4 linked regions of the Lytechinus pictus genome follow. The protein of the gene in region 2 interacts with the protein of the main gene of each other region in a biochemical or structural test. Links are inferred from orthologs where the notes say so. Each region holds a gene or a part of one and is shown on either strand. Other genes may lie near its edges. The genes, in order: ubiquitin-like modifier-activating enzyme 1, ubiquitin-conjugating enzyme E2 G2-like, E3 ubiquitin-protein ligase MARCHF6-like and ubiquitin-like modifier-activating enzyme 6.

Region 1 (7,224 bases), on a different chromosome or scaffold from region 2:
TTTTTCAACCCACTTCCAAGTCCATTTCTCACGAACTGAAGTGTCGATCCCTTTCACCCTCGCCTCTTCACCTCAATCAAGAAATTTCCGTTGAAAAGCCATAATTTTTCACAAACTTTTCTAGTTTTTTCGCTCGCACGAAAGAACTCCCGTATTGACAAATCACCGTAATCACGCCTAGCGCGATAACCCAGGGAGCTCCCGCCCGTTTCAAGGGCCGAAGTTCCCTGGGTTATCCTAGCGCCTGCATGAATTGAATGCAGCCATCGCGCGCGCACCGAGTACACGCTGTTTCCCCCACTGTAACGCACGACGGTCTGGTGGGTACGGTAATACAAAATGGCAGCGCCCATGATCAATACCGACCGTGTGCGATAAACTTCAAACAACATCAAACTTCAAATAGCCGTCGAAGAATCAAGTTTTCGAATGCATGACTGCAATTTTCATAAAAAGTAACGACAGCAAGTTGCCAGAACTTATAACTTTGTGTGAATTTGGGCGCAATGTGCCCTTCATTTTCTAGCAATTTTTGCGAATAAGGCATTGAAAATAGACACCCTAACCCCCCTTCATTTCATACCAGATTTACATCGATCTCAGAGACCACCTATGTTGGTGAAAAAATATCGGGAGAATCTCAGGCCTGACCTCTACAATCAAGTAGTTAATGTCATTTTTCTACCATCTTGTAAATTTTTGTTGCCATATCATGATCTTTGGAGGAGAAATGGGGGGTGAGCATATTTATGCTAATTTATTCATGAGATAATGTTTTTGGCTCTCACTACTCCCAACACTAATTTGCAAGTTGCACCATACATGTACCTCTATGACTCCAGCAATGCTGAATGATATGTGTATATGCTGTGTGTGCGTGTGTCATGTGATCACGAGAGTGGCTGAATGTGCAAGTGCAAGGTGCAAGGGGAGGGCACATTTTCCTTTTTGGATGAAAAATTTGACAAGCAAAAATAAAATTTTTTTACCTAAAAATGCATATAATTTCGTCCAGGTAAAATTTGAAAAGCAAAAAATATTGAAAATATTCCTATTAAAAATATTATGCTGTGACTTTCAAAGGGGGGCACACATGTAAAAGCAGCATTTTACATTTAAATTTTGATAATGGCTCTCAAGGGGTGGGTGGATGTGCCCCCCCCCTTGGATCCTCCACTGGTCATGTACAGGAGGCATGCTGCAGGCTTCCCAAAGTTTTAAGTGGGGCATGAAAATATTTTACTTGCAAGCATTAAAATGAAACATTTAAAAGGGGAGGGGTTATAACTTGTAACTAACCTCTGGTGTCAAGCAATGGCAGATCCAGGGGGCACAGTCAGCCGTGCCCCCCCCCCCCCCCCCTTGAGAGGCACAAATAAAATTTGTAATATAAAAATGCCGAAAAAACACAAGTGTGAAGTGTGCCCCCCCTTCGAAAGTGAAGACTTTATTTTTTTTGCTTGTCAAATTTTTCCTCTGGAAAATGTGCCCCCCCCCCCTTTGTAAAATCCTGGATACACCTTCTGGTGTCAAGATACTATATTTGGAAAGAGAAATACCCCTTCCGTCCCTGATGTAACCCATTTGCTGTATAAAAAAATATTTGAAGAGGGGGCTTACGAACCCCCTTTGTCTCCTTAGGCTTCACACGATGATTGCACATGAATTGTAATTGCACACCAGGCACATACGCCACGTGCAGATTCCCCAGCTCTTATACATGTTCTACCGATGACCACTGCACTAGAGACACACAGAGCTTGATCCATTCGACCAATTCGGGCCATTCATTTCACCCACAAGTTGAATGCGACTTTTGTTATTCATTAGAGGTACGTATCGTTATTCATATCAAACAAAATTTTCAAAAGGGTCATTATTTATGCCAGTTCATTCTCACTCAAATTCAAGAAAAATTATGACTCATTGGTCTGACATCGCCTTGCGTTTAAACTTTCAGAACGATATGTGACACACTTTTGAAGAAAATTACCATCGCCCAAAGAAAAAAACCTTCCTTTATTCATGTCGGCTTTAAGAAAACGTCGCCTGAGAAATAAAAGATAAATAAAGGCCGAACAAAAATTGATAATATTCATAAATTATGCAAACGAAAAATCAATTTAAAAACACATACAATTTTGCTCACCCGTTTCATATTTTCAGCATCAAAAGACCTTTTCGCACTCGAAATCATGCTCGGAAAGACAGAAAATTGATGTTATTGTTATAGCAATGATAAGAGAAAATAAAACCCGGAAGTCAGATCCTGCGAAACTCGATATTTTCAAGAAAGCAACCTTTTTTTCTTATGTACGAGTGACAAGATCGTCTTTGTAAAATGGATTATCATATATTATGGACCTCAAACTACACAATGTTATTGATAGTTTTCAATCAATGTAATAATTTTAGAGAGCATAAAGTAATTGCATTTTTCCAGTAGATCCGGTAATAAAGGTAATAAAGTGGTAATAAAGACTAACTTAAAGTTAAACTAAAGTAATATTTTTTCCCTTGTACGTACCATTTTCATTTCAAATTTTTTTTTGAGTGTTTGTAGAAATTGTTATTGATCTCGCCAATTTAACATGTTGACAGATACGAGAATGTCTTAAACTCAGACCATCTGTGATAGCTTAAGTTAGGAATAGGTCGGACTCGGAGTTGGACTAAATTCACTTTTTCATCGATATCCACGGATCACGCAACACACAGCTCTGCTTCATTCACACACATACACACACTGTATGCATGACACACTATCATTATGAGCTGAGTGACATAGCAAGTATTTCTACACCGTACACGAAATCAAGCAATGAACGAAGTCTAACGTTAGTCGGTGAATGTCGGCTTGTCGCGATATCACACGTGGTTATGGTAATTCATATAAGAAATAACGCTAGATTCAGTGGTAAAAATAATGTGTTATTGCTAATGTGCATTCTATGATGTCTATATAGTACTTTCTGTAGAATGTTCTGACCAATATTGCATATTCTACTCGAAAATCATAACGAAAGAGACAAAGTCATACCTCTCAACCTCAGCGACAATTTCTCGGATAGTGCATTGTTCACCGGTTATAATTATAACCCGGCGCAAGCTCACGTGACCAGCTGCAGGGAAATGTGGCTTGCAACATTTTTAGTATTGTACAAAATTATCATACATGTAGTATACTTACCAAAGCAACCCAAATGCAGTCTAGGACTTGCTCGAATTACAATCAAATTATCTCTTGATTTAAAAAGTTGATAAGTATGTAGACAAGAACAATTGGTAAAATTGCATTTCTGAGAGTTTTCTTCTCAATTTGACCGACCAACGTTCGGTAGCGAGGCTAAACGACGTGTACAAGACAGTATATCTATTTGGTTTGGTAGTATATGGAGTGAGATAGACCCCAAATATATTGCCAGTGATATACGGAAGACACATATTTTTGCGTAGAGGCCTACGCGTATCTCGTATACAGATAATTATGTCATGTACTACGTTAAAAGATGAAGAATGGGATCACTGGAACGATTGAATTAATGATAGTAGGCCTGCCTATAAATGAGGCCTATATTTAGTATCATTTATAGTCCCGGTTTAGAATATAAGATATGGGAATTTCATCAGCGCCGACTATGTTGTTGTTGTTTTTTCAGTATTATGGTTGAACCCCATGATATGATCTACAGCTATAGTCTTGGGTCCAACTCATCACTGGATTATCATTCGGCCTCGAAGATATAATCTTTTTTCGGAATCAATATAGGGACCAAGCAAATGTTTGAATACTCTAGGAACATTAAAAAAGAGATAACTATAAAGGCCAATAAGCTATCAATTGTTAAACATGTACTTACATGATATGACTATCCTTTCCCCTGAGCGTTGATGAGTAAACGCTCAAAGGAATTTAATTTGAAGGGGAGGTTAATGCTGATGTCATGGTCTTTTAATAGACAAATGCTATCAGTCCGAAGCAAATGCGGAGGCGCCGCGTCCGCCTGCGGTTGTGGTAAAAGGGGGTAAAAGAAACATCATCGAGAGGGGCCAAACATACATAAATTCCTGACAGGCCTAAAAAATAAAAGAAATACAGAAATTCATTTCCCCCTTCATTAACTTGACGTCATGAATGAACAAGTACGGATTTGTTTTATTAAAAGTCAAGTCCACCCCAGAAAATTTTTATTTGAAGCCAAATAGAGAAAAATCTATAGCAGCACACTGAAAATTTCATCAAAATCGGATGTAAAATAAGAAAGATATAATATTTTATAGTTTCGCTTATATTGATCACATTTCAGTGACCTATATAGACAGACGATGATGCGGCTCGCTCACTCATTGTTTGAATTATACGATATTTCATTTCAAGTATAAAAAATATATATTTGGGCAATCATCATACTGGAATCTGACAGAATAGGTCTAGCTCAAGAATATATGTCAAAAAGTTACTCCCATTATTTTTGTAAATTTTAGAATTGGCAGGACTTTTTCAAAGTGTTTTTTTTTTAATTGATACGCTATCTAGTAGAGTATCTTCAAGGCGTAGGGATGGGGGGGGGGGGGGAGGTGGACAGGAGTTGTTGCATCACCAAACTGAGTGTAGCGGGGGTTTCGGATTCCGGTGACCCGGGTTCGATTCCCAAGTGGTGCGCTAGTGCCCTTTGGTAAGGCATTTATCCTCATTACCAGGTCCCTCGGAGAGGACCTTAAGCCGTTGGTCCCCTGGTTGCTTGTTCACAGGCATTCGTGCTTATTTAGCAGTCAGGTAAAAAACCTCGGTATAAGATAATCTTTTTCCATTGCCTGGGTCACTGCTTTCACTACTTAGATACCTAACGCGCCTCTCTCAATCCACAAGAGTTTGCTGTGTTACAAAACCTTTGCAGTATATATTCAATGGCAAGTTGTGAATTCCTTTCCAAAGCAGACAGTTCCAAATGTAAGATTCCCACAAGAACGTTCCTGAGAAGTCCTCTCTCCCAGGAAAGTTAGCTAGAGCACGAGTCTCTTGGTAAGACAGTGCACTTGACCCAAACCACATCTTATTTTTAGAAGACATCTTGCCGGTAGCAGGGGGGGGGGGGGCTGTCCTCGATCCTTTCAATACTTTGAGGTGTGGCTAATTGGGTTACAGTTGTCTCTATGCGCTTGCCTGACATACCATAGCAGTATTCATATTATAACCACTTTGGACCTGGATGGTTTAACAGCCAACTGCACCATCTAAGAGCACCTGGGGTGTTTCACAAAGGTGTATATACGTATGACTTATAGTCGCAGTTATATACCGACACATATTATTATGATATGCAAAGCGCAATCTTCAGATCAAGTTAAATCAACTTTCCTATAAAACGTAATATGCACAAATGTAAATATCTCGGTGTGGTACTAAATGAATATTATATAACGTGGAATGACCAAATTGATAAAATGAAATGCAAAATTACTTCAAGTCTATACTGTTTAAAACGCGTGAGACCATATATATCTCAAGATACTGCTATGTCATTGTACAAATGTCTTATTCTACCCCACTTTGATGATTGTTCATAATATTTGGAGAAATGCAGGGAAAACCAAAATCAATCGTCTTATATTGTGATGCAGAATAGGGCCCTTCGAATTGTGCTAAAAGTTGATTCCTTGTTTAGCACATCAGCATTATACACCAAATTGAATGCTGAACCAATCGTCCTTAGATGGAAAAAACAAGCACTTGTATTAATATTTATGTTACTCAATAAGCTTTACCGCATTTTATATGTAATAGGATTAGTCTTAAGCAACATTCTACCCTCACACTCCGTAACTCAAACAATATAATAAACCTTAAAACACCCAAAACAGACTTTGCACGAAATAGCAGCCTATATCTTGCCATACTTGACAGAACGTATTCGCACTTTACCAAATCTAAATTTATTTGAATCTGAAATTGAAAAAGTCCTGAAATCTTGATAATCCTTTTTTTTTACAATTGTGTTCTTGTTTTTTCTGTTTTGATTTTGTTTTTCTGTTTTCTTTCATCCTCCCTCTTTGGTTTTGTATATAGGTTTTAGTTTTACTTATTTTTATTGATTTGTTTTTCTTATATTGTTTGTGTATTGCACGGCCTCTCTGAAAACCAGCCATTGGCTGATCGAGGGCTTTTTACCGTGTTTAAATAGAATAAATCAAAATCAAATCTTATTGATTAATATAGACAGTATAGGGCGTGTCCTCTTGGCATGATCTAACCAATGCGGTCATGCCTTTTCTAACACACGCAACTAGGCATTTTAAGTGTGATTCTAAGTCATTGTGAAACACCCCAGGTCATATTTCTTTTAAATAAAATTGGCTCATCTAAAGTTGTTGATATACCATCAGGGCCCCATTGCATAAAAGTTAGTATCATGAAAACTTTGCCATCCAATTGTAACTACCATGGCAACGATGCTCAACAGCAAATCAGAATCAAGGATTCCATGGAATGATGGAAGTTACCATTGAATGCAAAAGTTGCCATAATAGTAACCTTTATGCAACAGGGAACAGGTGAGGAGCTAAGTATGGGGCAAATACATTAGAACAAATCCATGTTTAGCTACAAAGTATTCATCTAAAAAAATCTGTTGCAATGATTTCAAGAGTTAGGTCAGGACCACAACAAATTCAAACCTATCTGGGTTTTATTTTTTCCTTTTTATCACTCAATCACAAATGCAATTCAGAGCTATTGAGGGGGAAATTATTCCACGTTTAATTTCAATGAGATATTATTTTTTTAATACTGAGAGAAGGGAGCATTTTTATCGCTACATGTTATTCAACCCCTATTAATTTGGCACTCTAACCCTTCAGGATTTTTTTTAGATTTCTATCTTGTATGTAATATAATTATTAAAGAGATGGTCCAGGCTGGATATATTTATATCTCAATAAATATAGTAAAATTCACAAAGCAAAATGCTGAAAATTTGATCAAAATTGGATGACAAATAACGAAGTTATCAAATTTTAAAGATTTGCATTATTCCAGTGAAACAGTTCTAGGCACGTCTCATAAATATTCATTAGGTGGGCTGATGATGTCATATCCCCACTTGTTCTTTTGTATTTTATTATATGAAATTGGGTTTATTAAAAAATGTTCTACCAAGAAATGAAACAATTGGATTGACACTGATTAAGAGCATGAGCTATTTATTGCCGCAAGTTATTCCATCA
Region 2 (7,201 bases):
TGAGGTAAGTTCATGTCATAATTTAAGATTCGGTTCATTAGTGATAGCTAAAGGAAAATAAGTAAGACACATATCATTGTCCAAAATCTTCAAAGATATCCTTGAAACTGAAGCCTCTTACTATTTGGATGAAACATCTCTGTCTTGAATCGCATCTTAGGAGGGTTGAGTGGATAGTCATTGGGAAACTTCAGTTCTGTCTGGAAGACACCACCCTCAAAGCATGTACCTTCTGGACCCCTGATGATGGGAGATATGATCGGTGGAGAAAAATATATGCTTTCAACATAGGAAAACGAGTTCTACATGTAGCCTCAACCAAAATGGTGGCTCAGTGGTAGCAGGCCCATTAAAGGACTAGTCAAAAGTAAAAAGACAAAAATCTAGCGAGCATAACACTGAAAATTTCATCAAAATCGGATGTAAAATAAGAAAGTTATGATAATTTAAAGTTTTGCTGACTTTCCTGGTCGGTATGCAAATGAGGAGACCGATGATGTCATCCACTCATTACTTCCTTTGTATTTATGAAATATGAAATATTCTTATTTTCTCCTCATTGTCAAGTAAAACAATGTTGAATTCCTCCCTGAAAATGTGGAATTAGCATTGTTTAATACTATATGGTTAAGTCAAAGATGGTCCATATTGTCAAATATGTATAAAATGAAATATTGTATCATTCAAACAATAAAAAAAAGAAATAGTGAGTGAAAGACATCATCGACTGTCTCATTTGAATGTCACTTAATTGTGCATATCACTGTTTTTTTAAATATAAGCGAAAATTTAAAATGTCGTAACTTTCTTATTTTAACATCCAATTTTGATGAAATTTTCAGCGTTATGCCAGTTTGATTTTTCTCTATTTATTCAAATTAAAATTACTCTGGGTGGACTTGACCTTTAATTAAAAATAATAATAATTGAAGAGTATTTTGTAATACTGGTAAAAAATAATGCCCCATATTCCCCCACCAACCAATTCTGTATTCGTGGAATTGCCCCTGATGGCTTTGAAAAAGTTCAATGTTGATTCATTTAAAGTACGATAGTGAGTCAATGATTTACATGTAGTTTCAACTCTGCAATCATCTCATCTCCATCACCTCCATCTTTCTTCATATTCCAAATATTCAAATGTATGTTATCAATATCCCATCCTGCTTTATAACATTGTATTTTTGTTGTGATGGTTTAAAAATCTTTAGTAACAACAGTAGTTCTTTTACTACAGAATACTTGCATGTACGTTTGGTAATTTAGCTGGGAATAATTAGAGGTTCGCATTTACCATTCATTGTCAACAAGATAATTCATTACAAGTTTTTGTTTGTTATATCATAGAACAATATTCTACTAATATTCTGAATGCGAAAGAAAATAATCAAATACATGTAAAAATCATGAAAGCAGACTTTATGTGACAAAGCAAAGAATAGATTTTAGAAAATACTCACGTAATCAGAGCCTCCCATTCGAAGAAATTTTTTTCATCGACAGGGCCTGCTATAATACCCTCTGGAGGGTTCACTGTTAGCTCTGTTCATGACATAAAATAAAACATTAAACTACATAACTTATTGTCTGCATGCAGTTTAAATTTATAACTTTTTCAGTTGATAATTGGAGTAACTTTACAATCCAATGTCATAATCGATTATTAGAGCATCACACACACGATACATTCACGACATTATTATATCACATGACAATGGATTCTAAACGTAAAGTGAAAAAGTAATTGAATTTCAAAGAAATTTATGATTATGCCCTAATCTTAAGTTAAAGGTCACAGGTGAGCAAACATGTCCCCGCCCCGGGGGGGGGGGGGGGGGGGGGGCACTCAGTATATAATGCATAGTGGGTATGTGCCGCGGAGGGGACCCCCATTTTTACACTCAAATTTCCGTTCCCAGGCATAGCATTTTTGTCTTATTGAGAAAAAGAACAAAGAAAGCCGCTCCAAGGCATAGCATTTCCTTCTTATCGAGAAAAAAGAAGAAAGAAATCCGCTCCAAAGCTTCGCATATTTTTCGTTACGCCGTTCCGGTCGCATTGATCTGCTACAATTTTGGTGAAAAGCGGCCGTAGAGCGCTTTTCGACCATCGCCTAAGCGCGAGCGCACCCGGCGGAGGCCGCGCTAGCTGCGTCATGCACGATTGCCCGTTCCATAGGGATGCATACGCACTCACAGAGATACGGAGATCCGTTCCGATGACCCCCGTTTTCACAAACATTTGTAGTTCCGAAGCCCGTTCCGAGGACCCTCCTTTTTACAATAAACCCGCTCCAAGGCCCCCGTTTTTTGCATCGCCCGTGGCACACCCCTACCACTTTTTTGGTCGAGTGCCCCCCCCCGGGGCCCCCGCTCAGCTGGCGACCACCACCAAAAATTTTGTCTTCTGATTTTTTGACTAATTTCATAATTTTGTTTGTCTATTTTACATGTATTATTCACCATTTTTGTATGTTCTCACATGTTGCCGTTTCATTTATATTTGTAATGCTGGTGGAAAGAAAATTTCCATGAACTTGGACTACAATAAATACGAACTTAAGAACTTTATCAAGACACAATCGAATCACAAACACGGGAATCTACGAATGGGGCACACGCAATAATTGCAATATGCCACACATAAATAAAGATCGAGTTATCAGTTAAAATAATACAAATTTAAGCCTTCAAATATAATTTATGAGTTATACCCACGTTTATATTCAGCCATTAATCTCTTCAGTGCAGCTCCGGCCATATTCAGTTCTAATTATTCTCTCAAAATATGCCCGTTTTTTGACACGTCAATTGCGGGTCAATTGCACTGACATTGACAAACCAAGGAGATGAAACCCAACTAGGCCCAACAAATGTTTATTTCAGGAAGGTAGCCGTGAGAGATTTATTTGCAAAGCAAAAATGAGAGGCGATTTCGTGAACTGATGCAACTAGTACTGACACATGTAAAGAGATAAAAACAAATCTCTCCATCATCATCTCTATCACTCAGAAATGAATTAAAGTTTATTTTATAAATGGTCTGACATTATATATATATTTAGATTTTTATTGAAGCAAATCAACCAAATAACAAAAAAATTATAATATTTGAATGTCCTTCCCTCCCTTAAAAAAATTAAGAAAGAAACAAGAAAAAATAAAAAAATCTTAGCATAATAGGTCTGGATCAGCTGAAAATTCGAAGTATAGTGTGCACAAATTATTTTAATCCGTTCTATCATGGATATCGTGATCTTGATTCCATTATTATCTCTAACAAAAATGATTTACTTTTTTTTTACTGCTGTGAAATGTGCAAAGTGCCGACCGAAACTACTGCCGAGCAATTTTAGATTTATTTAAAAGGATGGTCCGGGCTGAAAATAGTTAATTTAAATAAATAGAGTAAAATTCACAAATCAAAATGATAAAAATTTCATCGAAATCGGATAACAAATAACGAAGTTATTGAATTTTAAAGTTTATCAATATTTTGTGAAAACAGTTATATGCACATCGTCATGAATATTCATAAGGTGGGCTGATGATGTCATATCCCCACTTTCCTTTTTCTTATGTTATTACATGAAATCATAATTGTTTCATTTTTCATTCATGTGTAAATGATATTATGATGAAATAAGTTGCAGTAATGCACTTAATCAGTTGTCAATCCAATTGTTTTAGTTCTTGGTAGAAAAAAAATAAACCTAATTTCATATACCAAAATAAAAAGAACAAGTGGGGATATGGCATCATCCGTCCGCCTAATGAATATTCATGAAGACATGCCTAGAACTGTTTCACCGGAATAATGCAAATAACTTCGTTATTTGTTATCCGAAAAAGTTTTGATCAAATTTTCAGCATTTTGCTTTGTGAATTTTACTCTATTTATTGAGATATAAATATCTCAAGTCTGTAGTCAGTAGCGGATCCAGGAAGGGGGGGGGGGGGGGGCACATCCGGCCCGTGTCCCCCTTCTCTATGATGTGAATATGCCATTTTTACCAAAGTGCCATTTTTACCAAAAGGTCCTTTTAAATAAGGACCTTTTTGTCAAAATTTTTATTGGGGAAATGTGCCCCCTCCCCCTTTGGAAAATCCTGGATCCGCCCCTGTTTAACACCGTCCAGAAAGGAGAGCCCCTTTGCATCTTTTATTAAATCACTCCTAGAGTGACATATAGGTAAAAGTTTTCTCAGAGTGCCTCGATTTCGAAGGAGTCGGGGAAATAGCTTACAAAGGTACAGGCCTATCTTCCTGATGATTTCTCCTGTTCCTGATATTTTTTTTTCAATGACTGTCATCTGATACTGTTTTGAATGTACATCATATTCTATTTTTTTTTGGTGTAAACAGCCAGTCTCATTACAGTTGGTAATTTTATCATCACTTACGGGTAGCAAAGCATTTTGAATCGTGTCTACATGACGTTCATCACGGAAACGTGATAAATCTATAGTATGCGTGTAAATTCTTATCTTACCATAAGGTACCATGCTATATAATATCGCGTGGGTGCTCCATAAAGGATATCAAAATGAGACGCCATGTAAACGAAATCACTCGCTTACATTGTTTCTATTACTAATTAGTGCCTTAGCCGTGTCAAGCTCAATCAATAGTTGGCTGGTATCATTTTAATTATCCATTTGCGTAAGGAGCTGAACTGTACGTTGGATTGAAAGTATAGGGAATACATGACAGGTGAGTGATAATTTTCTTTGATTTCTGATAAATCCTGGTATGTTGCAGCCGAAAAATTGATTTTTTGAAAGACCCGTTTCGAGATTTGAATTTGGATATTTTAGATTCGAAAAAAAAGGTCTTTACGGTTTTTAATGAAATTTACGTACATAGTAGGTGCGACTGGTCACTCAAACTTAATTCAATCAAGCTGACCTGAATTATGTTTAAATCCTTGTGCCTTATTGGTAAGAAAAATCTGTTATAAATCAATCTCCATGCCAACGCACACCACGATTGGTCCACGATCAAATTTTTGAACAAATCGAATTTTGCCCATTTTCCGAAAATGTGAATGAAAGAGTATTTTTGTTTGAGGGTCAAATTAACTGCATGAATACTATAACAAATTTGGATAACTACAAGCCTTTTTTTTTTTTAGTAAAGGTCAAATTAGTTTCAAATCGTAGCCAATCGTACGAATGCTATGACGTCATAACGACTAAATATCAAATTCGCTTTTATTCTAATATAAGGATGATAGCATAGTCACAGATTTGAACATTGGTATTTGTATGATTTTGGAACATAAGTCCATGTCTCGATATCATGAAATTCTACTGCTTTTTATTCAAAAATCGGGTCACAAACTAATCGTAAGATATGCGGTGCATGGCCTTACGTACATGTATTGGGGAACGTTCAAGTAGTTTCATTTTTAATTTTCAGGGATCAAACAATCAAAATTCGTTTGATAATGTGATACCTATAATCATTCATTTATATTCTTTTCAAGGGAGATGTGTAGAAAACCTGTCCTGAGAGAAAAGTTTCAGTTTGTACCCTATTCCCTATATACCGGGCCTTTATACCCCCCCCCCCCATTAACCGGTGGACAACTAGCTCTTGGTTCCAATAATTGTCTGACTAACATTAACGTTTAACATTTAGAAATATTGATTGTAAGATTACCAATGATATCAATCAATCAATCAGTCAGTATTATTCAATCAATCAATCAATCAAACAAACAATCAATCGAGCCCTACACCAAAGTTCGACTTTGACTAATAGCTATATAATTCAGCTGTATAAATATGTCATTAGGCCCATGCCTATATAAACATCAGTCTCTACCCTATATAAATGCATATTGATAATCTTTGTATTTTTAGTTTCTTAAAACATTATCGTAATATCATCGTGGTCATGCATGTAATGATTATAGGGAAGTTTGGTTAAATAAAGAGCAATTATCGAGGCTCAGTTTATTTTGTATTTCTTCCGCTTACGTACCTATTTATCAACTCTTTTCAAGCAATCTGCTTATGATGACAATCCTCCTCCTGCAAATTGTGAACGTTATAATAATTTGGTAGTAGATCATATTTGTTTAGAATGATATTTTAGTCCATTTTCATGTCCAACACATTAATCAATTAACTAAAACGTATCATAATTATGAATGATAATCCAGTCCAATCAAAACAAACTTATTTATTCATAGCTCACAGGATTCTCTGAAGATTTTCCTGAATGATCCCCTCCCCAAAAGGGGGAAAGATTAAACTAAACATTACAATTCATCTGATTAACTTTTCATAATATGAAAATACTCTAACTTTTCTATACCTACCATATACATTATGACAGATGGAGAAACCTCAGTGTACAAAAATGGACAGAAAAGCGGATATATGAAGACAAAAATTGATTGATGTCTTATTAGGAAAATGGAACATGATTGCAATGTGTTTTACAAAGGAAAAACAGATTCGCAGAAAACCATGTATGTTTTTCTATCCGAAAATCATTTTTCTAATCCTAGCTTTTACTTCTGATATAACCAAGAGGATAACATTTTATAAGCATCAAGGGCATTTTGAAAAACACATTTTAGAGCCATTATGAATGCCATATGACCCGCTTTAAGAAATGAATCTAGGTCTCGGATGTTCTTACTGCATGAGTCCGGTATTTTAATCCGGACAATAAATTGTACTGAATATTCCCAAATACAACCTAGACGTTATCTTGAACGTTGAAATAGGAAAAACACACTTCAGAATGTTACAAAAAGGGAAATGACAATTTTATAAACAAACAGAGTTCATCCGCAACGCTCTATCCCAAAGTGTGTAATTGAATATTAAAACTATAATGGCATGCAAGAGACTATAACCAATTATCATCATCCACTTTGCTAAAAATATAAAACTTTTGAGTTCATTAGTCCTGCTATTATATATTCAAACTATTTAAACGTCGCTGAAAGGGCTGCCACATTGGCGTTTAGATTGCATGCATGCAGGCCTATATAATTATGCCGATGTCTAAGATGGCAACCCTTTAAGTCATGTAATTACCATATACTCGTTAACAAAGCAAAATGATGTCTCCATAATAAGAATGTAATTATTAGCATGATGAATTGATTTTTTTAGAGTAAGATAACTACATGGAATACAAACGTCAGCATATCGCTGTCTAAATCGTCCAAGGTGATAGTC
Region 3 (7,851 bases), on a different chromosome or scaffold from region 2:
TCAGAATATGAAAAGAATAAATTAAGCAATTTCAAGTTATTTCAATATTCTGAATTTTATTGAATGCTTATTTCCAATGATAATTTTGCAAATTATGCTTTAGATCTAGATCTCGTCTAAATGTTATTTTGTTGAGGTAACAATAGGGTTTGAATAGATCTAGATCTAGAGTGAACAAAACCAATGCAGAACTTCTAAACCCATGTTTTCTTTAATTTTTAAATGCATTTTGATAACCTTTATCTAATGATAAAGCATGCCGGTCCATTTCAATATTTCAAGTTTGGTTAAAAAATTGGAAAAGGGGTGGAAGAAAAATGAGAGAGAAATAATGGGAAACATACCAAAAAAAATTGTTTGGACCTAGATTACCCCGGAGAAGTTAAATCGACATCAGTTTTGGGTCGTCTTGCCAGGCAATTAGATGACCTGAAAAGTGATGCCAACCCCCAAACAAAAAATAACTTGGCACCATCCCAGATAAACTGCATCAGCGTGCAATTGAATGGAAAAAAAAATTTAAAAGGGGATATGTTAGGGTGGCTTGCTGTATCTTACTTTACATTTTCTCTATATGCCGACGGTGGCGGGCGGTGTGCAAAGAAGATCATGCCTACATAGGACATGTCTGGAAATGTCTTTCCAAGGACCAAATTGGCTTCGTGAAACAGTTGAGCGATATCACGTTCTTACGTAGAGCGGTTATACCAAACACCCTTTCATGCAACAGGCCCCTGCATTACCTCAGGCTCAGTCCTGTTTGGTCACTACCGCTACACTATGCTACACCTACCCGAACCACCAGGGCACATTCAACAGATTGACACTCCCAGTCAGTGACAAGGTGTGTCACTTTATGTTGCTGAACAAAACCAAGTCATGCAAAAACATGACCTTACATGTGATCGACTACAACTCATCTTAATACATTTTCAACCTGTTTCACTTGTTTCTATAGTATCAGTCTTAGGGACAGTGATTTTCCGTTTAAAAAAATTGCCTTTTCCGTTTCAGAAAATCTTAAATTCTGTTTCAGCATGTCAGAAAACGGAAATTCTGTTTCCCCATAGATTTTGTGTACATAAAAAATTAACGATTCGGTTTACCCATTCAGTAGCAATAACACAACACTCGCGCTGGTCAAAATTTGTATCTGCCACTGAACCAACAACGCAGTAGAATCTGCTCTAATCGGATCTATGCGGGTACACAAAATATTTTGACAAACACATTTAACATTAATACATCCTCACCTTTCACATTTTTAGCATTATTTTACGGTTGAATGAAATTTTTTCGATAATTTTGGGGTTTTTTGGACATCGTTTTGAGCAGTCAACAATTTCGTTCTATCCGCCATTTTGGATTTCAAGATCGTGCTGTTACATCTTCAAACATGGGCAGCAACACACGACCTGCATGTGAATGTTTTCGATACGGCCGATCGACCGTACCCTGCCGGCGCGGCCGGGAAGGACCGGGGCGAGGGGTACGATTGAGTGTGATGGAGTGAAGAGCAGTCACGATGTGTGGATTGTCATGATCGTAGTGAAGTGAGATCGTGTTTTGTGAGGTTTTGTGGCCATTTAATATTCGTATTTTGTTGAGATTTTGGAGTAATATATGTTGCTGTTCTGTGTATTCTGAGGAAAAATATGTTTTCCGTGATTTTCCGTTTGAAATGTCACTTTCCGTTTCAAAAGGCCATTTCCGTGAATTCCGTCCGCTTTCCGCGATCGCGGAAAATCACTGTCCCTACAGTCTCAAAATCTGTGATTTAAAAGCCAGTTGCTACTTCCTCACCATTAGACACTGCCGATTCCAAAACATCGCAAACGCAAATTGCGCATGCGTGGAGATCGTGGCTCAAGACATATATGAATATTGTGTTCCTATAGATTGGGATCATTTCGCTATTTGCATATTCATACTTATGGATTCTTCTGAATGTAGTCTTAACCCTTTGAACCCTAAATTCTTCGGGGCCGCCATGACCCGTACCCTTAATAATTTGCACGTATCAACCAACAGTATCTTCCCCTTGCTATTACCCGGACCGGGCCGGCTGAAGTTGTTAAGCTTCTCGTAGACCTAGACTACAGACAGAAATATAAACTTTAGTGTCTGTTTTGGGCTCAAAATCACTGTTCTGACTAAAGTCAGATTTATCAATAGCTTCCCCATCTAGTCAGCACATGACTCGCCGCATATTTCACCGGTGTTGGATGTGCCCTGATGGTTCGGGTAGGTGTAGCATAGTGTAGCGGTATTGAAGTGTAGTGGAGCCTACATGAACCATCACCTGAGGTACATCTGCATAGACCGATTAGGTCTATTTATGTCAGGGTTATGCTCTGCTGAGACTTCGTCTGGCTCCATGGTATCCTTTCAGTCAATACACCGATGACAGCCATTGGGCTCGTAATGGTTGAACTTCGACTGATGCTTAACTACAGGGTCTATGGAGAAAAGGCATCAGTCATTGTTTTGAGGTGCATGTGAATAGGCGCTATACTTGGAAACTATAGTAGTGCTGCAAGTTAGGCGGCATGTTCGGGTTCGGTTCGGCGTGGTTCGGCACTTTTTGTCCAAGCTTTGGGGTCTAGCAAAGTATGACTAAATAAATTACAAAATTATTTTTTAAATGACCGCCAATCCTGAGCCAACAGAACATTTTTCATAACGACGGTCTGGCATATAATGGTTATGAAAATTGTTGTTTGATTTCCTTTTTTTTTTTTTTTTTTTAATCAAAACTAGAAGTCCTTTCTTATTTTATTTTCAAATTGAATAGAATTGCCAAAGAAAAAAAATATTGAAAATGGGATAATGAGGATTGAATCAAAATTTCACATAGATATGATTATGATACATCACAATGTCATAGCAAACGCAGCCACCTTGATCGGGAAGAGTACTGATTGGGAATGTTGAAACACGAGAGGAACAACCTCCAGTCAACTGCTATTATACTGGTAAAATTAATAATTCAATGAATATGAAATGTTTTCGAAGTCCATATGTTCTTAAAAGTGGTTTAATCTGGTCAATTGATTATTTTAAAAAGATAAATTATCAGTCCATTCTTAGTCCTGAAAGATTGACGCTAAGTGACTTCAAGCACATTTCCAACACGAAAATGAGACTGTATATTTTAGTGTTGTGAAATCACTACGCGTCAACCTTTCAGGACCAAAACGGAACTGATTATTAATTTTTTTTTTTAGCAGTTGACCAGATTAAACCGCTTTTGTCTCACCTGCTTAGCAGAGCGAGACTATACGCACCGCTTTTCCGACGGCGGCGGCGTCAACATTGAAATCTTAACCCGAAATTGACAGGGCTACAATGTATATGAGATGTTTTGAGGACTGGGGGGGGGCCATAATGGCCCCCTCCCCTTCTGATCTCGGCCGCTGTTCGCGCGATCGCGCCAAAATTTGGCTCGCACATTCTTTTCCACATAAACTACAAGCCAGTACAAAAAAAAATTCTGAAAACGATTATTTTTTATAATTTGTTATAAATGAAATTTGCAAATTTATTTGTGAAAAACATTTGCATAGTTAACACTCAATTTCATTTCAAATTTTTTTTTTTTTTTCAGACTCATCTTTTAATCAAATTTAAAGGTTTCCACGAAGAAAAATTTCAAAAGTGAATTTTTTCCTTATGTATTTCTTTGTTTTTTCATCTTTTGCTTTTCATTGTTTTTTTTCAATGGAAATTATTACAGACCATTTAACAACTAAATTAAACCCTAAATATTTAAGCAGACCAATTAGAATGAAAAATAATCACCTTTTATGAATTTCATCTCCCGTATAGACTTTGTACACAAAGTATAAAAATTAGCCATTTTCGGCATGACATTGTCACGTAAAAAGTCGCGTGGCGTCGAGATGCTATACCCGTATGTCGCGAATTTGGTCTCAAAAGTTGTGCGAGACTTCAAAAAAAAAAAGTCATAAAATTTTGCGGCGTTATCTTTTTTCATTTCAGAAATATCGTGCGAAGCGTTGAGGGGGGGGGCATCATGGCCCCCCAGTCCTTTTAGGGTTTGAAATGTCATCATAACTTAGAAAGTATATGGATCTACATGTAGTTCATGAAACTTGGACATAAGGGTAATCATGTATTACTGAACATCCTTCCTGAGTTTCAGGTCACATGACCAAAGATCATTTAGGGTCAATGAACTTAGACCATGTTAGGGGAATCAATATTGAAATCTTAACCAAGGTTAAGGTTTTGAAATGTTGTCATAACTTAGAAAGTATATGGAGCTAGTGCATGAAACTTGGGTAATGGTATATCCCTGAAGATCCTGCCTGAGTTTCAGGTCACATGACCAAGCTCAAAGGTCACTTAGGGTCAAACTTTGGCCATGTTGGGGGTATTCCATATTGATTAAATTCAATCGCAGGAATCTTGATTGTTTTAATCATTCAATTGTACTTACCCTGGCGAACAATCAAATGGCAAAAAGCGATATGTGAATGTTGATTACTGGTGCTTTCACATGATTGGTGAATGAACAATTAACATAATTCCAACCTGTTTTATCATTATTGTTATTTCTATGCAGCAAAAACACTGATCATGATTGATTTCACTTAAGTTGCAAAGTTACATTTTGGTACATTTTTAACATTATAATTTTTTTCACAATCAAGAAAAAAATTTGTGCCATAGAGGGCTTTATGCTTCCAACTGGTTGCTTCTTCGGACTGCGTTGTGAGATAATTTTCTCAGTTGTGAAGAAATCTGAAAGCCACAATCAGATGAATCTCATACAGGAGTCAAGACCATTTTATGAAAATATGAACTTATTTTCTTTTCAGATGTATGTAGAGTATGCAGGTCAGAAGGTGGCCATGAGCGACCTCTATTTCATCCATGTATTTGCACTGGTAGTATTCGCTACATTCATCAAGATTGGTAGGTATTACATCAATATAGGCATGAGTTTTTGATGAGGTTCATGACCGTCCTCTATTATTTTCAATGATTGTCTTTTGAATAAATGGAAATTGGTATATGTTATAAAAGTCTTGTATATACATAGATCTGTTTTATTAAGATGAGTTTGAATTAAGAAAAAATATAATAGAAACAATCAGATAGGGAATGCAAAGATATATTTAAATCCAATATCTATGCATTGATATACACGATATATATCTATGCATTGATATCCTACATTGATTCCAGAGCCCTGGGCTACTGCAGATCCAAGCTAATTTATTGCTGTACAGTGTATTGTATTTTTTGTAGATTTTTTGTCAAGCTCAGGTTAGTTAACTTACTTAACTGCATAGTATATTAAATCTTTGCAATTTCTGAATGTTCTGCTTTTGATATTTAATGAATTTCCCATTATTTGATTGAAGATAAAATAGAATACCAATGACAGATGGAAGTATTCTGAAAATAACTAAAAGCTAGTAATAGTAGAAATAATTACCACTATCAGAATAATGTTTGATAGATCGATTACCTACTCCTTCGGTCAATAAATAAATTTGTGTGACTCCCTCCCTCCCCTTCTCCTCTCTATCCTTTCTGTGATTCCCATTCTCTTTTTACTGTATCTTTTCTCCTCCCTTTCTCAAATATTCTTATTTTCCCCCATTTAGTCTGGTGCAATGGCTAAAACACAGCAAGAAGGAATATTGTGAGCTATGCATGCACAAGTTCACTTTTGCCCCAAGTAAGTCCATGTACAGTGTTATTGTTTTAGTTTGAACTTATTGTTTATTTAATAAATAATGAAAGATAATTTCAATTATCAAAGTATGTAAATGTTAAGGTACACTCATATATGAAAATGTGATACAGAGCCAGAATATTAACTCTGGTCTTAAATTTTGGAGTATTTCAGGCTGAAAATGAGAGTTTTAGTTAATTGATTTAACTTAAAATTTAAAGAGCAAGCACTGAAATTTTCATCAAGATATAACTTTTAGAAATTCTTGAACTTAATAAAGTAATTTTTTTTAAATGTTTTGGTGAAACCATTATCTGCATGTTATCATGAATATGTGCAATAAGCAAGCTAATGATATATTATATCTCCACAATTATTATGTTATTATATGAAAATCTGTTAAACTATTTTTTTCCAAATTTTGTATTGTGCCTTCTGGATTTGGTGCATTTTAACTGATGTGACTTGATTAAAATTTAAAAATTCATATATATGTCTTGTTTTTCTTTGAAGTATACTCTCCTGACATGCCCCCTCGCTTGCCCCTCCGTGACATTGTATGGGGTCTTGTAAGGAACTTTGGTACAGCTGTACTCTGTTGGATCCACTATACCATGGTCATCTTTGCTTGGCTTGGCATTGTTCCTGTTACAGCAAGTATGTCAAGTTATCTTCCTTAATATTAAGCAAAGTTTCAATAAAATCTGTTAAATCATTGTATGTAATTTGATGTTTTTAATTATCTGAATATTTAATTATGTAGACAAGATTTTATTTTTATAATGTGCAATTATAATGATTATTCATTTTTTATTCATTCATCTGTATACTGGTATTCATTATTCAGTTATTTCTCAATAGACATGTGAGTATCCCATTATTCAGCGATGATTTATATTTCTAGCTTCAGATTACCTATTAGCATACCATTTCCCTACTTGTATAAGTCTTATCTACCTTTATCAGCCTTTCTTTCATTTGCCTTTAGGTCGTATATATGGCTGCCTCTTCAATACATCCCTCGCTCCCGTGTTGTCCTTGCCATTTGATATCTTCTCTTTGTAAGTATTCAATCCAGTGCATCAATGAGTACCTCTTGCTGCTAACATTATGTGCTATCAAGTTACATATCAAAGTCATTACAAGAAAATCAGTTCAATTCAGTTTATTTTTCTCAGCATAAAAACAACAATATGAATAGTACAAACATGACATATATCTTATCTACGGCTGACCCATAGTTCCCTCTGATAGAAGTAAATTACATTAAGATTTTTTGTGTAAGAATGTAAAGGCCTGTTGTATTCGACCAGGAAGATTCCATAGAAGCCTTGCGTTTGTATTGCATGTAACATAATCCATATGTGAATAGTGCACTCAAGGTTATTTACAGTGATGCAAAAAATATCAGGAGACATTCTCATTACATTGCAGATTTGCCTGGGTCACCACTATCATCACAAACTTAAACCTTTGTATCATTTATTTGATGTTATAAAGCTGATTGTCAATTTGAATAAACATGGCCCCAAAAATTGGTTACCAATGTGAATTTTCAAGAATCCCACAGTTATTACTTAAAGAAAAAGTCCACCCTAACAATCTTATTTGAATAAATAAAGGAAAATCAAACAAGCATAACACTGACAAGTTCATCAAACTTCGATATGAAATAAGAAAGTTATGATATTTTAAAAATTTGCTTGATTTCAAAATCATTGTGTACATCCTGGTCAGTATGCAAAGGGGGAACTGATGTCACTCACTTTTTCCTTTTGTATTATACTTGTAGTTTTAAACCAGGTTTGATTCCTCTTTGATCATGTGTATTAATTGTTATTTTGATACGTATTATGGTTCAATAAATACCTTCGTTATTGTCCAAACTTCAAATTGAAATATTCTATATATTAGATTTATTATGAAAAATGTTGAAGGGGCTATATAAGCCCCCCCCCCTCCTGCCCCTGGCTATATAAGGATAAGGCAAAAAACTAGTATTTTATTTTCGGGGGCTACCTTTCACAATCTCATGGCTAAATCTGCAACATTGCAGGCCCAGAGGAGCGGTGTAATTAACTCGGGATAATACCCAAAACATCTTGAATATCTATTTCATGGACAATTCATCTGCTTATATA
Region 4 (7,714 bases), on a different chromosome or scaffold from region 2:
AAACCACCAATTATTACAATTAAGCTTTATAATGAAAACCAGGGACAAGATGTTTAGTAGAAATTAAGAAAAGTATTCAAACATTTGACTGATCCTTACCTTTATACCTGCCAGGACAATGTTCTTAGCTGTATGGAAAGATAGAGCAAAAGACAGTTTGAGGGCAAGATGCATGAATAATCTTAATCAAATCAAGATGTGTAATGTTAAATACTGTGACCTGAATTACTACTGGAATGAAATTGAAAAAAAGTTTTCAAAAATGAACCTACAAACCGTTGACTATTAATAATAATTAATTTGTGTATGTATTTCATAGAAAAAGATGGAAACCTGAATATTTACCAATTTCTATGCCTATTCCACCAAGACCACTGAGGAAGACATTAGAATGTGCCATCTGCTTCATGGCACTGTCTCCAAGAACATAGCGCTGGCGGCTATTATAAAGGAAAGAGACAAAAAGGGGGAGCATCAAGTACTACATTAAAGAAAATTAAACTTAGCCTCCCACTTATAAGTCTTGTAAAAGTGACAATTTTATTATTTAATCTGATCAACAGAGGGCCACTAGGCCAGCATGATATAAAAAGTGAGAATATATGTATGCGACTCACTGACTTTAACAAAATGCTTCACTCACAGACCACATGTAGAGAAATGCAAGACTGGCTGTGATAAAGGCTTTGATTATGAATATAGTCAACCTTGCCCAAGTCAAACTTGCCTTGATCACATAATCTCCCAAATCAAAGGTCTTTCAATAGTAAATCTTCTCTTCATATTCTGTTGTACTCGACCCTTCATGAGTTGAAAATACATGTATGTATTTTAAACTTTGTCTTTCACTTTAACTTTGCAATAATTGATTATAACTGGATATTAGCAGAAGAAACAGAGTAGGATTAACAAACCTGTACAAGCTGTCATCTATGTCTTCATTAACAGGCATCTTGATATGCTTGGGTGCTGGCAGATTGCTGGGGGCAAGACTGTGTTTAGGTGAAGTTTCTTTCTGTACAAAGTAAAAATAAAATGAAATAACATCATTTTAGTTAACTGTGTAACAATTCTAGCATTTTTAAGCTATGCTTCATAAAATCATCTGCAAGCATATTTTATTCTTATTGCATTTAAAATTAAAGCCCCCTGTTATCAAAAAGTCTCCATAAATAAATCACTGGAGTTATATCAAAATGTAGTTAGCATTACAGACCCTCTTCATGGACTATGAGCGGAGTATGGTCCGTTATGGGGACGCTGATTAAAAATCAGAAATAAATGCCTTAATGCCATAACATTTTTATTGCAAATATAATACTTTGTTTTGTTTTTTCATGACAGCTCTGTGGATTTGGTCATCTTTTCATTGGAAATGAGAAAAACAAAAACTGACCAGACTAATGAGTATATCACCTGCCAGGTTTCCCACTTCCACAATTCATCTAATGTACAAGGTTATAATAATATTGCCTGCCAAACCAACACACTGGTTGATGGTGTCTGGTAATATTAGGATAATCTTTTTTCCTACTTTCTCTTGATCTAGTAGGTAAATGCTTGATTTAATCAGGCCATGCTGCAGTTATACATCAAATGAAGGCCAACTTCATTTCCTTGAACTAGTTTAATACAAAAACAGAGGAAAGGACAAGTTGTGTAATTGATTTCTGAATTTCAACCATAAAAGGGCTTCAAATATAAAACAAAATAATACAAATTTTGAGAGCTCTGGTTGATTAAAAAACAACTAGACAGGTTAACTAAAATGCAGATCATGAAATAATGAGATTTCATGTTTTCTCATAATGATATTAATAAAAGCTTTTTTTCTTTGGAATGTGTGTTGCAAAGAATCAACAAAGACAGATGTCACAAAATTGGTAAAATTAGAGTTTTAGGGTTTGATGAGATTGAGGGAGAACTTCAATATATGTTTAAAATAATGGGTACCAACATAGATTTTGCAATGACATAACACCATCCCTGCCTTTCAAATGTATCTCTAGCAGGATTGTATTGTGATGGTGAATATACAAATCATGTTTGTTTCCAGATCAAGTGTTTCCCTACCATATAGTTGGTAAAACTGACAATGCCATAAATCTTTTTTTTCCATTTGATTTTTTTTTCTTCTTCCATTTGTTTTTATCACTCTCTCATCTTTATTCTTTTTATCTCTTTCCTTCCTTTTTTATATATTTCTTTCCTTATATTTAGATTTTAATTTTTAGTATTTCCCTTGGCCTTGCATGCCTTAGGCTTAGGCAGCCTTTACTTAGTTTTAATTTTCCTCTGCTCTTCCACTATTTGTTCTTTTTTCTTCTTCTTCCTCCTTTTCTTCATTTTATATTCTTCTTTTTTCTTCTTCTTCCTCCTTTTCTTCATTTTATATTCTTCTCCACATTCGTTCCTTTTCATTTTCATATTCTCCTTCTTCGTATATATTCTTCTATGACAATCCTCATTTTCAGACCGCGGCCGCGACCAACCCGCGCCCAGCGTCCTTTTTAATCCCCACACGAAATGAAACGAACGGGACCAGACCTAAAATTGCAATACATAAGTCGACATTCATTATAATATGCAGGCCCATTAGACCTACTTACGACTTCTGAACTGAACTACACTAGAATAACACAAAACATCAGAATGCATAGATAATAACAGTAAAACATTAATCCAACTATTTCATCTAAACTTGCAACTTACACTTATTACAGATTCGGGGATTTCCGACACGGGGAAGGGTATCCAATAATAGTCTTTGAACAAGACAATACTAATAAAACACAGAACAAATGTTATGTTATACCGCAATTGTTTCTTCATTTTTGGAGCACTAGCCATAGAGTCTATCTAAAATATGTTATAGGTTCTACACATAGAATTATAGAACTGACGAAAAGAACACTTACCATCCTCAGAGCTATTAATAAATGATACAAAGCATATAACCTCGTTCCTGGATGAGTGGATACAAAGTAGGCCCTACTTCACCGTCGCTGCAGAGACGGGCACATCACATCATTTTCTGCGCCAATATTCGAGCTAAGGGTAGTTAGCTGAGCTGAGACGATAATCTTGAGCGAAGATCCCTATTTGGCAGGGGCGGAAATCTCTCCCAAAAGGTAGGGGGACAATGGGCTGGACAAATTGACAAGCAAAGAAAGAAAGAAAAAAAAGGTTATCACCCCAAATATGCAAGGTCATTTCGACTAAAATAAATTTGACAAGCAAAAAAAAAAGTAAAGTCATCCCAAAAGTAAGGTCATCTCGTCCAAAATACATTTCGATTTTTAATGAAGTATTTCTTTTCATCACAAAATACCAAAAATAGTATGGGGGCATTTGATATTGTGTCCCCCTACTATTTTGAGTAGGGGAGGGGGGGGGGGACGCGTCCCCCTGGGCAGTGGCGGACCGTGACCCGAGGAGACAAAGCATTGGAGGGGCACTGTATTGTAAGTGAACAATGCTGCGCCCCTCCAATGCTTTGTCTCCTCTGGGTCACGGTCCGCCACTGCCCTAGTCCAGATTGGACCTTGTTGTTTGGAAGTGCTTTTTCCCAAAGCTAACATAGAGGGCACATGTCTCCCAATCTCTAATCAGCGCCAATCCACTTATCTTCCCTCCCCAACAAGGTCCAGTACAAAACTTTGCTGTACCAGAAAAGCTAGGCATCAATCAAACAAGTTACACGGTAGGGGGTCAGGTGCCCTAGTCTCACACACCAAACAAGACACATTTTTACCCAAAACAACTTCACCTCTAACAGGGTGAAAAATGCAAAGTTGTGGGGTTTTTTTACACTGTAAACATAAGGCTCCGTGTTCATGCACTTAAAAAATATCTATTCAGCGCCTTCCTCTCTCGCCAAATGATTCCACCCATGAACCAAGTATCAAAGTTTGAATAAGTAGACTACACCAGTCACAAGGAGGCAACAGCTGGTAAACATCTCTGGCTCAGGCAGCATCAACAGATCCTGGCCCCCACCCCCATCGTGGTCAATGGGCAGTGGAGGGTCAGGGGAAACCAGACCAGTGGCCTACAGGTACGACTAGTCTCTTGTACCAAACTTTTGCCTCCACTCAAATACAAGTTTACCCCAAAGGACGATGAAAATACACAGATGTGACCGATGTTCTACAGAATAGACATATACCACCATGATAATTTGATATTCACATTTTGTTCTATTGAAATGTTTTTTCTCTTACCCAATGATTTCATCCGTGGAATAAGAATTACAGTTTATAAGACTAGACTACGAAAACCAGGACCATGTTGCTTCCATGAAATGACCTCCTGACCTCCATGATAAGGGGCAGTCAGTGGTTTTTGTATATGGAGCTATATATAGCTCCATGGTTTGGAGATGGTTTGATATGCATGTGTTTGCAGTGTATTCCATACTATGGACATCCATGTCCATACTATGGACATCCATGTCCATACTGTGGACATCCATGTCCATACCCAGCTAATATAATAACATTCATGAAAGATCCTAGAAATGCTTTCAAAATAAATTTTTAAGAACATTTGTATAACATTAATGAAACAATATTCCCCTGATGTTAAACATGAAATAAACGTTAATATTATGATGCCAAGCAGATATATTTTCCTAAATGTTACATAGATCTTTACCCCGTTAGTTGATGAAAAAAAATGATATTTTTCTAACGTTTTTATAATGTTACATAATTAATGTGAATATTTTTTTTTCAAACGTTCGATGTTATGACTATGATGATGATAAAAAAGTCATGAATGTTTGTTATCAAAATATTTCGACAAAACAAAAAATGTTATGATTTTCTTAAATATAGTAGATACATGATAATTTTGCTGTTTTTGCCATATTGAATTAACATTTTGATAGGAACACAATAACATTTTATTGACATCTACATGTACTGGATGTAAAAATAGCATTTTGAAAATGTTGTTAGAATACTTGAAATGAAATGATCGATATGAAATATGGTTTAACAACATCTCAACAAAGCATTCTTGAAAAATGTTTTCAAGTGTTTTCCAAAATGTTAACTTTAAAAAATATATTAGAAACATCCTGATAATTTTAACATAAATTGTTGAGAAACAAAACAGATATACAATTTTATAATGTTATATACATGTACGTACATTGGATGTGATAATAAATGTTATGAAACTATATGTTTATGTATCATTTTGACTTAACGTTCTTGAAAAAAAAAATTCCTAATATTTTTCAAAAGCGTTAATTAAATGTATCATTAACATGTTTTTCAATGTTTTATGATGATATGAATATAATTTTTTCAGAAACTTGATAATACTACTAACATTTTTGTAAGGTTATACATTTGATGTAAAATAAACATTTTAAAATGTTGTAAGAATATTATGACAATAACATCAACCGTTCAACAAAACATTTTTGAAATATAATTTCCAAAAATATTTTAAAATGTATTAGAAACATCCTTATTTTTAGTAGTATAATTTTAACATTTTTTTGTATTTTGCTGACATTTTGATAAAGTTATTGGGATCTATGATTTTTAACTCATCCGGCCCGAAGGACTAGATGAGCTTATGCCGTGGCGTGGCGTCCGCGTTTCAAAATGCTTCTTCTTCGCTATTTCTAGTCCGGAATCAATTCTGTTTGCTTTATATGATAGCACTAGGTAGGGGATTCAAAACTTCTTCATAGAATTTTGAAACTCATTAAATATGCTAATTTATGCGCATTTTTAAAAATTCACAAAAAATGCTTCTTCTTAATTAGTTGACCGATTTTGAATTGTTTGCTTCCATCTGGTAGAGCTTCATGAAGGTCACCAAACTTCTACACAAAATTTTGAAATTTGGCCGGAGTAGAAAATTATTTATGCTAACTTATGCGAAATTCATAAATCACAGAAAATGCCTCTTCTTTATTTGTTGACTGAATTTCAAAATGCTGCCCGCTTCGTCATTTCAAGTCTGATTTTAATTCTGTTTGCTTTTGATATGATAGCATTAGGTGGGGGATTCAAACCTTCTACACAGAATTTTGAAACTCATTAAATATGCTAATTTATGCGCATTTTTCAAAATTCACAAAAAAATGCTTCTCCTTCGTTATTTGTTGACCTATTTCGGCTTCCTTTTGGTAGCACTTCATGAGGTTCACCAAATTTCTACACAGAATTTTGAAATTTTGAGTAGGAAAAATTTTATGCTAATTTATGCGAAATTTATTCATAAATCAACAGGAAATGCGTCTTCTTATTTGTTGACCGATTTTGATTTTTTTTTCCATCTGGTAGATCTGCATGAGGTTCACCAAACCTGTACATCATTTGTTGATCAATTTTAATTTTCTTTGCCTTATATGATCGCTTTAGGTGGTGATACAAAATTTCAACACAGAATTTTGAAACTCATGAAATATGCTAAGTTATTTATATATTTTCAACTAAAAAAAATAACTTATTTATTTGTTGATTATTTTTGTTCCGTCTGAGAGCTACATGAGGTTCACCAAGGTTCTACACAGAGTTTAGAAATGTTGACTAGAAAATTATTCATGCTAATTTATATAAAATTTATTCATATAGATCACAAAAAAGCTTCTATGTAATTTCTTCATCAATTTCAATTCTATATCCTCAATTTATGTCACCAATATAATTCACTACAGTGACGTCAACTGGGATGAAATTAAAATTGTGTTAAATATCGTTGCGAGATGCTGGATGAGCTCCACATCATTGATGTGCTAGTTTTAAAAGGTTGTAATACTAGTATCATATCAATGACATCAAACGTTCTTAGAATGTCAGAACTGAAACTGCTTTATAGTATTTTCAAAAAAGAGAGAAAATATTGTTTTAATACATATTTATGATATAACATCATCTGATCATTTAAGAAATAAATTCATTTTACTATCATCGTTTTTATAATGTTATACATTATGTGAAAAAAATAATGTTGGTAGAATATGACAATAACATAAAACATCATTCTCGAAATGTCATGATTATGATTATGCTTCTCAAATATTTTAACAAAACTTATTTTTAGAAATGCTTTTCCAATGTTTAAAAAATGAATCAGAAACATCCTAATTTTGTCATTTTTATGATATTATTTTTAAAGGACAAGTCCACCCCAGAAAATTTTTGATTTTTATAAATAGCGAAAAACTCTAACAAGCACAACGGTGAAAATTTCATCAAAATCTGAAGTAAAATGAGAAAGTTACGAAGTTTCCATTATTTTTCACAAAACAGTTATATGCACGACTCGGACATGCAAATGAGAGTGTTGATGTCCCTCATTCACCATTTTTGTATGATATTGTTTGAATTATAAAATGTATTTCAATTTTTACAGATTTGACAATAAGGACTGAATTGATCGAACCATAAATTGTTAAAACAAAGGTAATACCACATGTTCAGGGAGGAACAAAACTTTGTTTCACAGGACAACAGGGATATAATTGGAATATTCAATATTTCATATAATAAAATACAAAAGAAATAGTGAGTGATGTCATCAGTCCCCTCATTTGCATACCTGTCCAAGATGTGAATATAACTGTTTTGTGAAAATTATAAAGCGAGACTTAAAAATGTCATAACTTTCTGATTTTGATTTAATTTTTCAGTATTATTCTTGTTGGATTTTTTCTCTTTTTATTCAAATCAACTTTTTATGGGGTGGA

Evidence for each region.
Region 1: of the proteins of ubiquitin-conjugating enzyme E2 G2-like (region 2) and ubiquitin-like modifier-activating enzyme 1, one has a biochemical effect on the other in vitro, tested with the Homo sapiens proteins (5 studies listed by BioGRID, with this or other methods). The link is inferred for Lytechinus pictus from reciprocal best matches to the Homo sapiens genes UBE2G2 and UBA1.
Region 3: the proteins of ubiquitin-conjugating enzyme E2 G2-like (region 2) and E3 ubiquitin-protein ligase MARCHF6-like form a complex in vitro, tested with the Homo sapiens proteins (2 studies listed by BioGRID). The link is inferred for Lytechinus pictus from reciprocal best matches to the Homo sapiens genes UBE2G2 and MARCHF6.
Region 4: the proteins of ubiquitin-conjugating enzyme E2 G2-like (region 2) and ubiquitin-like modifier-activating enzyme 6 form a complex in vitro, tested with the Homo sapiens proteins (2 studies listed by BioGRID, with this or other methods). The link is inferred for Lytechinus pictus from reciprocal best matches to the Homo sapiens genes UBE2G2 and UBA6.

Annotation. Positions count from the first base shown.
Region 1 is NC_087247.1:36,375,546-36,382,769, forward strand, and holds the start of ubiquitin-like modifier-activating enzyme 1, read right to left. Parts: upstream 3,022-7,224; 5' UTR 2,537-3,021; coding exon 2,528-2,536; intron 1-2,527. UniProt on the Homo sapiens protein: Catalyzes the first step in ubiquitin conjugation to mark cellular proteins for degradation through the ubiquitin-proteasome system.
Region 2 is NC_087245.1:12,246,800-12,254,000, reverse strand, and holds the start of ubiquitin-conjugating enzyme E2 G2-like, read right to left. Parts: upstream 3,022-7,201; 5' UTR 2,761-3,021; coding exon 2,718-2,760; intron 1,543-2,717; coding exon 1,461-1,542; intron 241-1,460; coding exon 122-240; intron 1-121. UniProt on the Homo sapiens protein: Accepts ubiquitin from the E1 complex and catalyzes its covalent attachment to other proteins. In vitro catalyzes 'Lys-48'-linked polyubiquitination. Involved in endoplasmic reticulum-associated degradation (ERAD).
Region 3 is NC_087246.1:38,704,476-38,712,326, reverse strand, and holds the start of E3 ubiquitin-protein ligase MARCHF6-like, read left to right. Parts: upstream 1-4,846; 5' UTR 4,847-4,941; intron 4,942-5,639; 5' UTR 5,640-5,688; coding exon 5,689-5,713; intron 5,714-6,223; coding exon 6,224-6,367; intron 6,368-6,698; coding exon 6,699-6,771; intron 6,772-7,851. UniProt on the Homo sapiens protein: Endoplasmic reticulum membrane-associated E3 ubiquitin ligase that plays a critical role in mitigating endoplasmic reticulum stress, the regulation of cholesterol and lipid homeostasis, and ferroptosis.
Region 4 is NC_087249.1:23,275,000-23,282,713, forward strand, and holds the start of ubiquitin-like modifier-activating enzyme 6, read right to left. Parts: upstream 3,006-7,714; 5' UTR 2,922-3,005; coding exon 2,919-2,921; intron 2,768-2,918; exon of another isoform or gene 2,713-2,767; intron 1,016-2,712; coding exon 915-1,015; intron 441-914; coding exon 346-440; intron 129-345; coding exon 100-128; intron 1-99. UniProt on the Homo sapiens protein: Activates ubiquitin by first adenylating its C-terminal glycine residue with ATP, and thereafter linking this residue to the side chain of a cysteine residue in E1, yielding a ubiquitin-E1 thioester and free AMP.